2 linked regions of the Schizosaccharomyces pombe genome follow. The gene in region 2 interacts genetically with the main gene of each other region. Each region holds a gene or a part of one and is shown on either strand. Other genes may lie near its edges.

Evidence for each region.
Region 1: mutations in mug89 (region 2) and shk2 together harm fitness less than expected from each alone (positive genetic interaction), as found in Schizosaccharomyces pombe (one large-scale study listed by BioGRID).

The regions. Positions count from the first base shown.
Region 1 is NC_003424.3:271,336-275,481, reverse strand, and holds shk2 (PAK-like kinase Shk2), read right to left. Parts: upstream 2,331-4,146; coding exon 561-2,330; downstream 1-560. Other genes in the region: plasma membrane stretch-activated calcium ion channel Yam8, read right to left, coding at 1-393; fal1 (ATP-dependent RNA helicase), read left to right, coding at 3,159-3,225, 3,292-3,312, 3,366-4,146. UniProt on the Schizosaccharomyces pombe protein: Forms an activated complex with GTP-bound Ras-like cdc42. Participates in Ras-dependent morphological control and mating response pathways.
Region 2 is NC_003423.3:303,415-308,613, reverse strand, and holds mug89 (phospholipid-translocating ATPase complex Lem3 family subunit), read left to right. Parts: upstream 1-1,916; 5' UTR 1,917-2,122; coding exon 2,123-3,313; 3' UTR 3,314-4,699; downstream 4,700-5,199. Other genes in the region: SPOM_SPBC1773.12 (transcription factor), read right to left, coding at 1-454; asparagine--tRNA (Asn) ligase Nrs1, read left to right, coding at 4,926-5,199.

The sequences.
Region 1 (4,146 bases), on a different chromosome or scaffold from region 2:
GACAAAAAAATTGGGAGCAAATTGAGAAAAAGCACTGGACACAGCAATATATAAAGGTGAGTAGCCGGTTACAAATATCGTTGCTAGACCATTTTCAGAAGCAGTAATCGTAAAATTATCTAAAGGAAGAGCTTCGTCAAACGTATTGTTCGATATATATAACATCAAATCGTTCGCGCCATCAAAAGCAGTGCAGGTTGATAAAGTTAGACTAACGTTGTAAGCTGTGTTTCCTTCCCATGTTAAGTTATAGTAAGCAGTGCTTTGATCATTTATATTACCATTTATGGTATTGTTCAGCAGCAAGCTAGTATAAGTAGCGCCAAATATGTTTCTAGTTATCGACCAGAAAAAGAGTATCTTCAAAATTAAATGGGTGCTAAAAAAAAACATATAGAACCTTTAGTAATTACTTTCAAGGCTTTAATATTCAAAAGTAAGCTCAAAAGTTTCGCACATGCAAATTGAGAAGTTAATTGAAATTTCTAAAAAACTAGCAAGTTGTATATCATTAAGGATCGTTAAAAATATTCAAATAATCATAAAAGTAAATTTTGGACCTAATTAATATGGGTATTCGCTTTGCGAGAGAAAATGATAGATTTTAGATCTTCAGTCGGACATGCTTGGTTAAGAAATGAATGTGTCAGCAACTCAGCAGCAGTAGCTCTAAAAATGGTATCGATTGTAAGACAGGAATTTAAGAAAGATTTTAAGTTTTTAGAAACTAAATTAGGTTTTTTAAGAGTTGGAGTTCCATTTTTTGCTATCAGATACAATGCACGAATTGGATCCTCTCTGAGATAAGGCGGTTCGTTTTCAATCATCTCTATAATCATAATTCCAAGACTCCATATATCAACTTTGGTCCCATATTCGTTTTGCTTTACTACTTCAGGGGCCATCCAATATGGTGTTCCAACCATCGTAACTCGTTTATTAGTACGGTTAGACAATCGAGCACAAAATCCAAAGTCAGTAATTTTAATATTTCCAGAGTTGTCGAGTAAAACATTGTCACTTTTAATATCTCTGTGAATAATATTTCTGGCGTGCAGATGCTGAATTCCCTTGCACGTTTCTAGACAAATACGAGCAATTTGTGCTTCTGTAAGCTTACTTTTTTCAATAATATCAGTCAAAGATCCAGCGTTCATGTACTCCATCACAACCCATAAATGCCTTTCTCGAACAAGAAATGAATCTAAATATGTCACTATGTTAGGATGAATCGATTCTCTCATGACAGTGATTTCGTTTAAGATTAGTTCCTTTCTTGTTTGGCACTGCAAATCAATACTTTTTATTGCAACTGAGTCAAAAATACCTAATTGTTTTCCTCCGACGACTTTGGCTAAGTAAACAGATCCCGATGCACCCTGGCCAAGTTTATGCTTAACATTAAAATATTCGACAGGATCATGAGAAGTAACTGAGTCTTTTAACATGGCTAAAGCCTGTCTATCAGTCATTCTTCTACTCAACGTGTTCTTTGAATCTGCTTTGACCGGTACTTTGGTTACTTTTCCGGTCATGATAGATTCTACATGACTTTTGTCTTCAATAAAAGGCCTTATGATATGCTTTTTATCCGTCTGTATGGTTGTCTTCGGCTTGCATCTTTCAGTAATATTCATTTTAGTAACTCCAGATGTCGTGAGTTTATGATGTTTGTCAGCATCGCGAATAGAATACGATGTAGTAGAGGATCGTGGCAGTGTCTCTTTGCAAAATGAAAAACTATCTTTAGTTTCGCTTGTTGTATCCAACTGCTTACTATAAAAATCCAAAGCTTGAATAACTGCTTTCGGCTCCTCCATGCATTCTTGTTTGGTAATCGAACTACTCTGAAGTAGCAATATCCACTCCTTGGGTAATCCGACATAATTTCCTTCATTATCAATTCCCACATGCACTTGGTGTTTAGGATTCATCGGACTTGAAACTTTGCTAGCAAGCGCACGAGAAGATATTAAATCCATCCACTCATAACATTCCATATTATCGGCCACGGACAATTCACAAGCTTGAATCTCAAAATTTTTGGTACTACTTTTGAACCTCAATTTAAAGCAGAATGTCCTAGACTTTGAACGCTCTACTTTTTGAATATCCTTCAACAGCAACGTAACCTGAGCACTTTCAGACTTGCTTCCTTTATATATCGACAGAGAATTGCTAGAAAGTACTAGCCACTTTTTAGTCCAAGGGAGATACTTCATTTTATCTTCCTTCAGCATAACCCATCCTGATCGAATGATTCCCTTGCTTTTCTTTGTATCTTTGAGAGATGGAATTTCAACCGGCACGCCTCTTACACTTAAAAGCATTTTGAAAACGATGCAATAGTTTTGGTATACATGCTTCTTTTATACATTTTAGCTCAAATGTATAAACAAAGAAACCCCATTTATAAACAAAGAGAATGCAAAAAACAAAGAAATGTTATGAAAAGAGAAGTCAATTGACGTCAACAGTAGTGGATGAAAAGTAATTCTTAATTAATTAGATTAAGTCTTACAATTGCAATTTGCAATCTTATCGCAAGCGAACATGACATTGGTTACAAGATTCATGACAACGCTCACAAATGTAAACTGTGTATAGCATTTATAATATCTGAGAGTGATTTTAGGTAATTTTTAGCATGGAAATGTATAACTGAATTTATGCGAAGTGGTGGGCAATTCTGGTTAGGAAACATTAATTGATAATGGGTTTTGACTAGCCGATAATTTGCATGTTAGTGCTAGGAGAACTTAGATTGCTAAAACGGAAATTAGTATAACAATTCTAGGACGAATTGAAATGTTGTTTAGACTCTTAAGGGTGGTGTTCAACCATTGCTCCAGTTGTAGAAAATTAATGTAAGACTCTCATAATTTTTTCGTGTAATGTCTAATTCTAAGAAACCGCTAGTTTACTTTTTATACCATTATCTAACAAGTTGGGAGTACTGAAAATAAACAACATGTGAATAATAAGTTCATCTAAACTTCTTGTCAATATTTAATAAAGCTTTCCGTACAATTGAAATTTTTTAAAGGAATATTCTTTTATTTTTGTAACTAACCAAGCTTTCTATTTGCTTGTCAAATTTTCTCTCCTTCATTTTCCTCAAGTTGGGCTGACATAACATAACTACTACAACTTCCATTATGGCGGACGAAATAATGGAGAACGTGGAGCTTACGACATCGGAAGATGTGAATGCTGTATCCTCTTGTAAGTAAATTATATTTTTTTATAATATGAATACTTACTGTGAATGATGCTAACATTGTTTTGCAGTTGAGGAAATGAATCTTAAAGGTTAGTTAATGAATTGATAAAAATTTCCATAATTTTGTTCTAACAACATGCAGAGGATTTACTTCGTGGAATCTATGCGTATGGCTATGAGACTCCGAGTGCTGTGCAAAGCCGGGCGATTATTCAAATCTGTAAAGGGAGAGACGTTATCGCACAAGCTCAATCTGGTACAGGGAAAACAGCAACTTTTTCTATTGGTATTCTTCAGTCGATCGATTTATCAGTCCGAGATACTCAAGCTTTAATACTTTCTCCTACGAGAGAATTGGCAGTTCAAATCCAGAATGTTGTACTTGCATTGGGTGACCATATGAACGTTCAATGTCATGCTTGTATAGGCGGCACATCCGTTGGAAATGACATCAAAAAATTGGATTATGGACAACACGTTGTTTCTGGCACTCCTGGGCGCGTAACGGACATGATTCGTAGACGAAATTTGCGAACTCGCAATGTTAAGATGCTTATTCTTGATGAAGCGGATGAGCTCTTAAATCAAGGCTTTAAGGAACAAATTTATGACATTTATAGATATTTACCCCCTGGTACACAGGTGGTAGTTGTGAGTGCTACCTTGCCTCAAGACGTGTTAGAAATGACTAACAAGTTTACCACTAACCCTGTTCGAATATTGGTCAAGCGCGATGAACTTACTCTTGAAGGCTTAAAACAGTACTTTATAGCAGTTGAAAAAGAGGAATGGAAGTTTGATACTCTGTGTGATTTATATGATACTTTAACCATTACACAAGCTGTGATATTTTGCAATTCTCGTAGGAAGGTTGATTGGTTGACGGAGAAAATGCGAGAAGCTAACTTTACCGTTACCAGTAT
Region 2 (5,199 bases):
CCTTGGGATGAATTTGGAAAATCCCTGGATACCTTCTCATTTTTTCATCTATTAGAAAACCGCAGTTTTGAATTTGCTGTACAAGCGATGGTATCTCGTTCGACGTTTCTCTCTTTTCTGACAGATCGTAGTTGAGCAAATTTAGCATATCGTCAATCCGAGATTCCATATTAACAGATCTTTTGCTTAACGTTATAATATGATTTCTCAGTTCAATCATTTCGGTGTACTCTCGAGTAATACCAGCTGTTGACTTCTTTACAGGCGGCTGCCCGACGACGATATGTGGGTCATCCTTGTCTACGTTTGGCTTCTTTACTCTTTTTCTTTTATTATACTTGCACGTTTCTGAGTACACTACACAATTCTGGCATTTTGGCAATTCGCCGTTACACCGAAGTTTTCTTTGCCTGCACAAGTCGCAAGCTGTGCTAATTTTTTTTATTGGTACCATTGTTTGCACATTTAAAAACTTCCAACAACACAGTCTTTTAGGCGTTTTTTTGGAATATTAAATTTTTTTGAAACTACTCGTACAGGGCACCTTGCAATATATACAATTTTGGAATTTTGTGCCATTGATAGTAAACAATGATTATCGCCGATCGATTTTTTCGCTTAATTTCGAGTATATTTCAATGACGCGAGCGCCATGATAATAAATGAACATTCCTTAAATGGGACAGATAACAAAATAATCAATCCAATTTATGGGTGAGAGAATTGTTCCTTACTGCTTGGTATCAATTTCAACCTGCCGTTCTTCATGTGATCTTACAAAAATCCATTAGTAACATAGCTTCATCATTATAAATACCATGGTAAACAGCCAAAAAATGATAATAAACAAGTCTAATCAAAAAGAATAAATGTGAATATTAATATAATGAATAGGATCAAAAGATAATGTTAGGATTTGGAGCTGAAAGCAATGGGAAGCAAAACTTTTGAATGCTACCAAATTATTCCGAACAACTACTTAAATGAAAAAATCTTTAACAATTGCTTGATATCAAACAACTTTCATTTTAGCTCGGAAATTCATTTTTAAAGGCATGAAATAAATATTGGAAGGAGCCATAATCATTCACATTTTTTGTACGTTAATTAATAACACTATGTTTCAATGTCCAGGCTTACTTATGTTAATTTAAATAAATGTGTTGAATCCCAGTTAATTGCCTAATGAGATTTCGACTTTGAGGCATTATTTACTACCATCCGAGGTTTTCAATCAGGTAGTTAAAAAAACATAAAACAAACATCAAAAGAGGTATATGATAATTAGAGTTACATATACTGTATCATTAGATACGTTGTCTCGAAAAAATGAGCTTAGTGTGGCACCAATCTTTTTTTCTTTTCTTGCAATTTACTAGACTCCACGCAGGTGGTCATTTTCAAATACTGTTTGTTTCTTTAGCTGGGCAATTTTTACCGGTAAAGTGCGCACATTTTCCTATCCAGCTCGTAAATATATTTCAAGCATTTTACTTCTCCTCTTTTGTTAACCACAGAGAATAGATAATTAATACACTTTCTTTTCTTATCTCTACAGAATCAAGTCGATCAGGTATACATTTTTACGACGAATCACTTTGAATATTATTTGTAGCAGAAAAACCATCGTCTATAAAATTTTGAAACTTCCTTTAATTGAACATCATAATTTTATAGTCCCGAAATATAACTACTATACATTAACCAACAAATGTTCTTCCCTATTTTTAAAGAAGGTATTTATAATAGCTCTTCCTTTTAAAGATGACTGCTTCACTGGCTTTGTATAGAATTTTTTTTTAAATTTGAATAGCGAAATGTACCATATTCGCAATGTCAATTATAGCACTATTAGGAATACGGAGTAATTATTTAACGCAATTTTGTATATGTACGTTGCAGATTATGTGTTTACTAAATGCCAAACGTAGAAAAATCCGTGGCTTTCAAATATCCTCTTTTTTAATCCATTATAGGCTGTTTTATTGCCTTTTGACCTATTTTAAAACAAAAAATCAATAATTTTCATCTAGAAACCACCAAAATATTACTTTTAAATTGTTTTTAATCACTTTAACGGGCTCGCTTTTAAAAAGCGATCAATTCAAGACCTTTGAGAATTATGCCGGAAGCATTAAATGAAAATGTTTCAGACACTGCATCAAATGGGCCTGTAGCAAAAACTAGAGCACCTCCTAATACTTCCTTTCGCCAACAAAGGATCAAGTCTTGGCAGCCATTGTTAACCCCTAAAATCGTGCTTCCACTTTTTTTTGTGTTAGGAATTATATTTGGTCCATTAGGAGGAGGATTACTTTATGCTAGCTCTATCGTACAAGAGCTAGTTGTTGATTATACGGATTGTGAGACTCTGGCTTCTTACGATGAATTCTCTGCCGTCCCTTCCAAAAAGTACACAGCTTCATTTGATCAATCAGGAACTATTGGATTTGACAAAGAATCAACCTACTGGAAACTGGAGAAAATTCTCGATAAAGATCTAGATATGGACGTTAACTACTGCATCATAAGATTCACAGTCCCATCTGTTTTAAAGGCGCCTATTTTCATATATTACCGTTTGACAAATTTTTTTCAAAATCATCGACGGTATGCTAAAAGTGTAGATGAAAAACAACTACAGGGAGTGGCTTTAACTGCTGACGAAGTTAAAGGAGGCAATTGTTTTCCTTTGGAAGTTAACGAAGATGACAAACCATATTATCCATGTGGTTTGATTGCAAATTCTCTTTTCAATGACACTTTTTCGTCACTGAGACTGCTGGATGATAATAGTGTTTACACTTTTTCTACCAAAAATATAGCTTGGGCTTCAGATAAAAGACGATTTTTGAAGACAAACTACAGTCCTGATGATGTTGCACCTCCTCCCAATTGGGTTTTGCGTTATCCTGATGGTTATACTGAATCAAACATGCCAGATTTGTCAACTATGGAAAATTTACAGGTTTGGATGCGTACAGCTGGTCTGCCTACTTTCAGTAAGTTGGCTATGCGGAACGATAACGACGATATTTTTCCAGGAACATACGAAATAAAAATTGGGTTGTTTTTTCCTGTTAAGAGCTTTGACGGTACCAAATCTCTGGTTCTTACGACGAGATCGGTGCTTGGAGGAAAGAATCCATTCCTTGGAATAGCTTACATTGTTGTCAGTGCTGTTTGTGTTGTGTTAGGTACCGTTTTTACATTAAGGCATTTTATCCGTCCAAGAAAGCTTGCCGATCATCGTTATTTAAATTGGGATTCTGAAGAAAATAATTTAGCACCCCATTTGAGTGATCGTCCTTAGGTTTGTCGCGATTGCCGACTATTTACAACTCTGGGTTGTAATTGCAAAATTAGTTTCCTCATAGTAGAAGGAGTTTTCTCTGTCTTCTTTTTTTTTCTACGCCTTCCGTTGTCTTTAGATTTCTTTTATTTATCAAAGGGTAGAACTATGTTGTTTTAGGTTTGATGATTACGATTGCTAATTCTGACATTCATATTACATCTTTTTGCTATACTCAATTTCATTAAAATATGACTTTTGAGGTATTTTGATGGACCCCTAATTTTCTTCATTACTGGCTTTTCAAAGGTAGTATGTGTTTTATATTTTGCTACTCAAATTAGTTTATTGTAACACACTAAATTTATCATTCAAAAGATCTTTGGAATGCCTTTACATGTACCATTCGTTTACATTTCATTCTTTTACGCTTTTCTCTTTAGTCTCATGAAACTGAGATACGGATTTTTTTTATCAATTAATAATTCGCATTATTAGCAGAATTTGTTACTGAAGTGTGCTAGCAGGTCATAACTGCTATTCTTTAGGATAAAATTGTTATGCGTGCTTACTTTGGAAACTCTATACCTGTTAATGATACTTTGGTTTAACATACTGATGAAAATATTACGCTGTTTGTAACAATCATAAATTTTTGCATTTTTCTTTTATACTAAACCGCTATTTGCTTTCCTCTGCTGCTCCATTTCTTGTCGTTCAAACCGTTTAAAGCCGTTGTTGACTATGACATTTGTATAATTAAAATTAAAAGCGTTGTAAAAAGGAAATGCTGGTGCGTAAAAGAATGCACTTGTGTATTGAAGTGTTGTGATTTGAGGACAGTCTACAATAGGTATGGCGATAAAAGTAAAGTAAATATCACTACTACCTGAATTTTGCAAGCTTATTGATATACGTGAATTGAACATTTATACCATGCCATACTGTATCATGTCAACAGGTCTAATTGGAATACTACGAAAAAAAATCATCTCTCGATATACAAAAGTCAGCACATGCTTGGCTGTATAGCGAGAACAAAAACAGAAAAAGACGATTTTGGTTATTCCTACAGACTATGCTAGCAATTAACTTATGGAGAAGTGTGTTCTTTAACCTTGCCCTACATGTAAAATATCCACTTGTAATTTAAAAAGATATTTCACAAAGTAAATTTTTCTTTTGACAATATTACAACCTTAGCTAATTTACTTTTTTTCTACCCATTGGATTTACTAATTTAAGAACGTGAGAAGCCATAAGTCAATATGGAATGAAGCAATATCTTATTGACAAGAAGTTTTCGTAGTTAACTTATTTGAGGAGTCTATTGAATACACACTGGGTTGACAATTAATTGCTCTATGTCAAATCGACTGGGGAATTAGCAATAACCATACTAATGTGATACAATGAAATGTAAATTTACAATTAAATAAAAGTACTTAATATTTCAAATATTAGCAACTAGCCGAAATTTTGGAATCATTAGCCAAAAAAAAAATTAACGCGCTTTAGCAAATGTTCTGGGTTGTAGATTTGCAGATAAGACACTCTAACGAGACTATAAGTTATCCAAGGCCGGTTATTTGATATTTAACATTTTCACTAACTTCAAACTGTCCTTTTAAAAATGGCGGGATTGGAATCAAAAGTTTCTGATATGAAAATAAAATCAGACGTTGTTTTTTATATAGACGAAGCTTCCGGTAATGATGAAACTGGCAACGGAAGTCAAACATCACCATTTAAAACTGCAATCCATGCTTTGGAAACTGATGCCAACTGTACGATCTTTGTCAAAAAAAATGGCAGTGAAGAGTTTGAGCCTATAACCACCAACGCTTTAAAGAAGGCGAAAAAGGGAGTTGAACAAGCCGCTAAGAAAAAGGCTAAGGCAGCTGAAG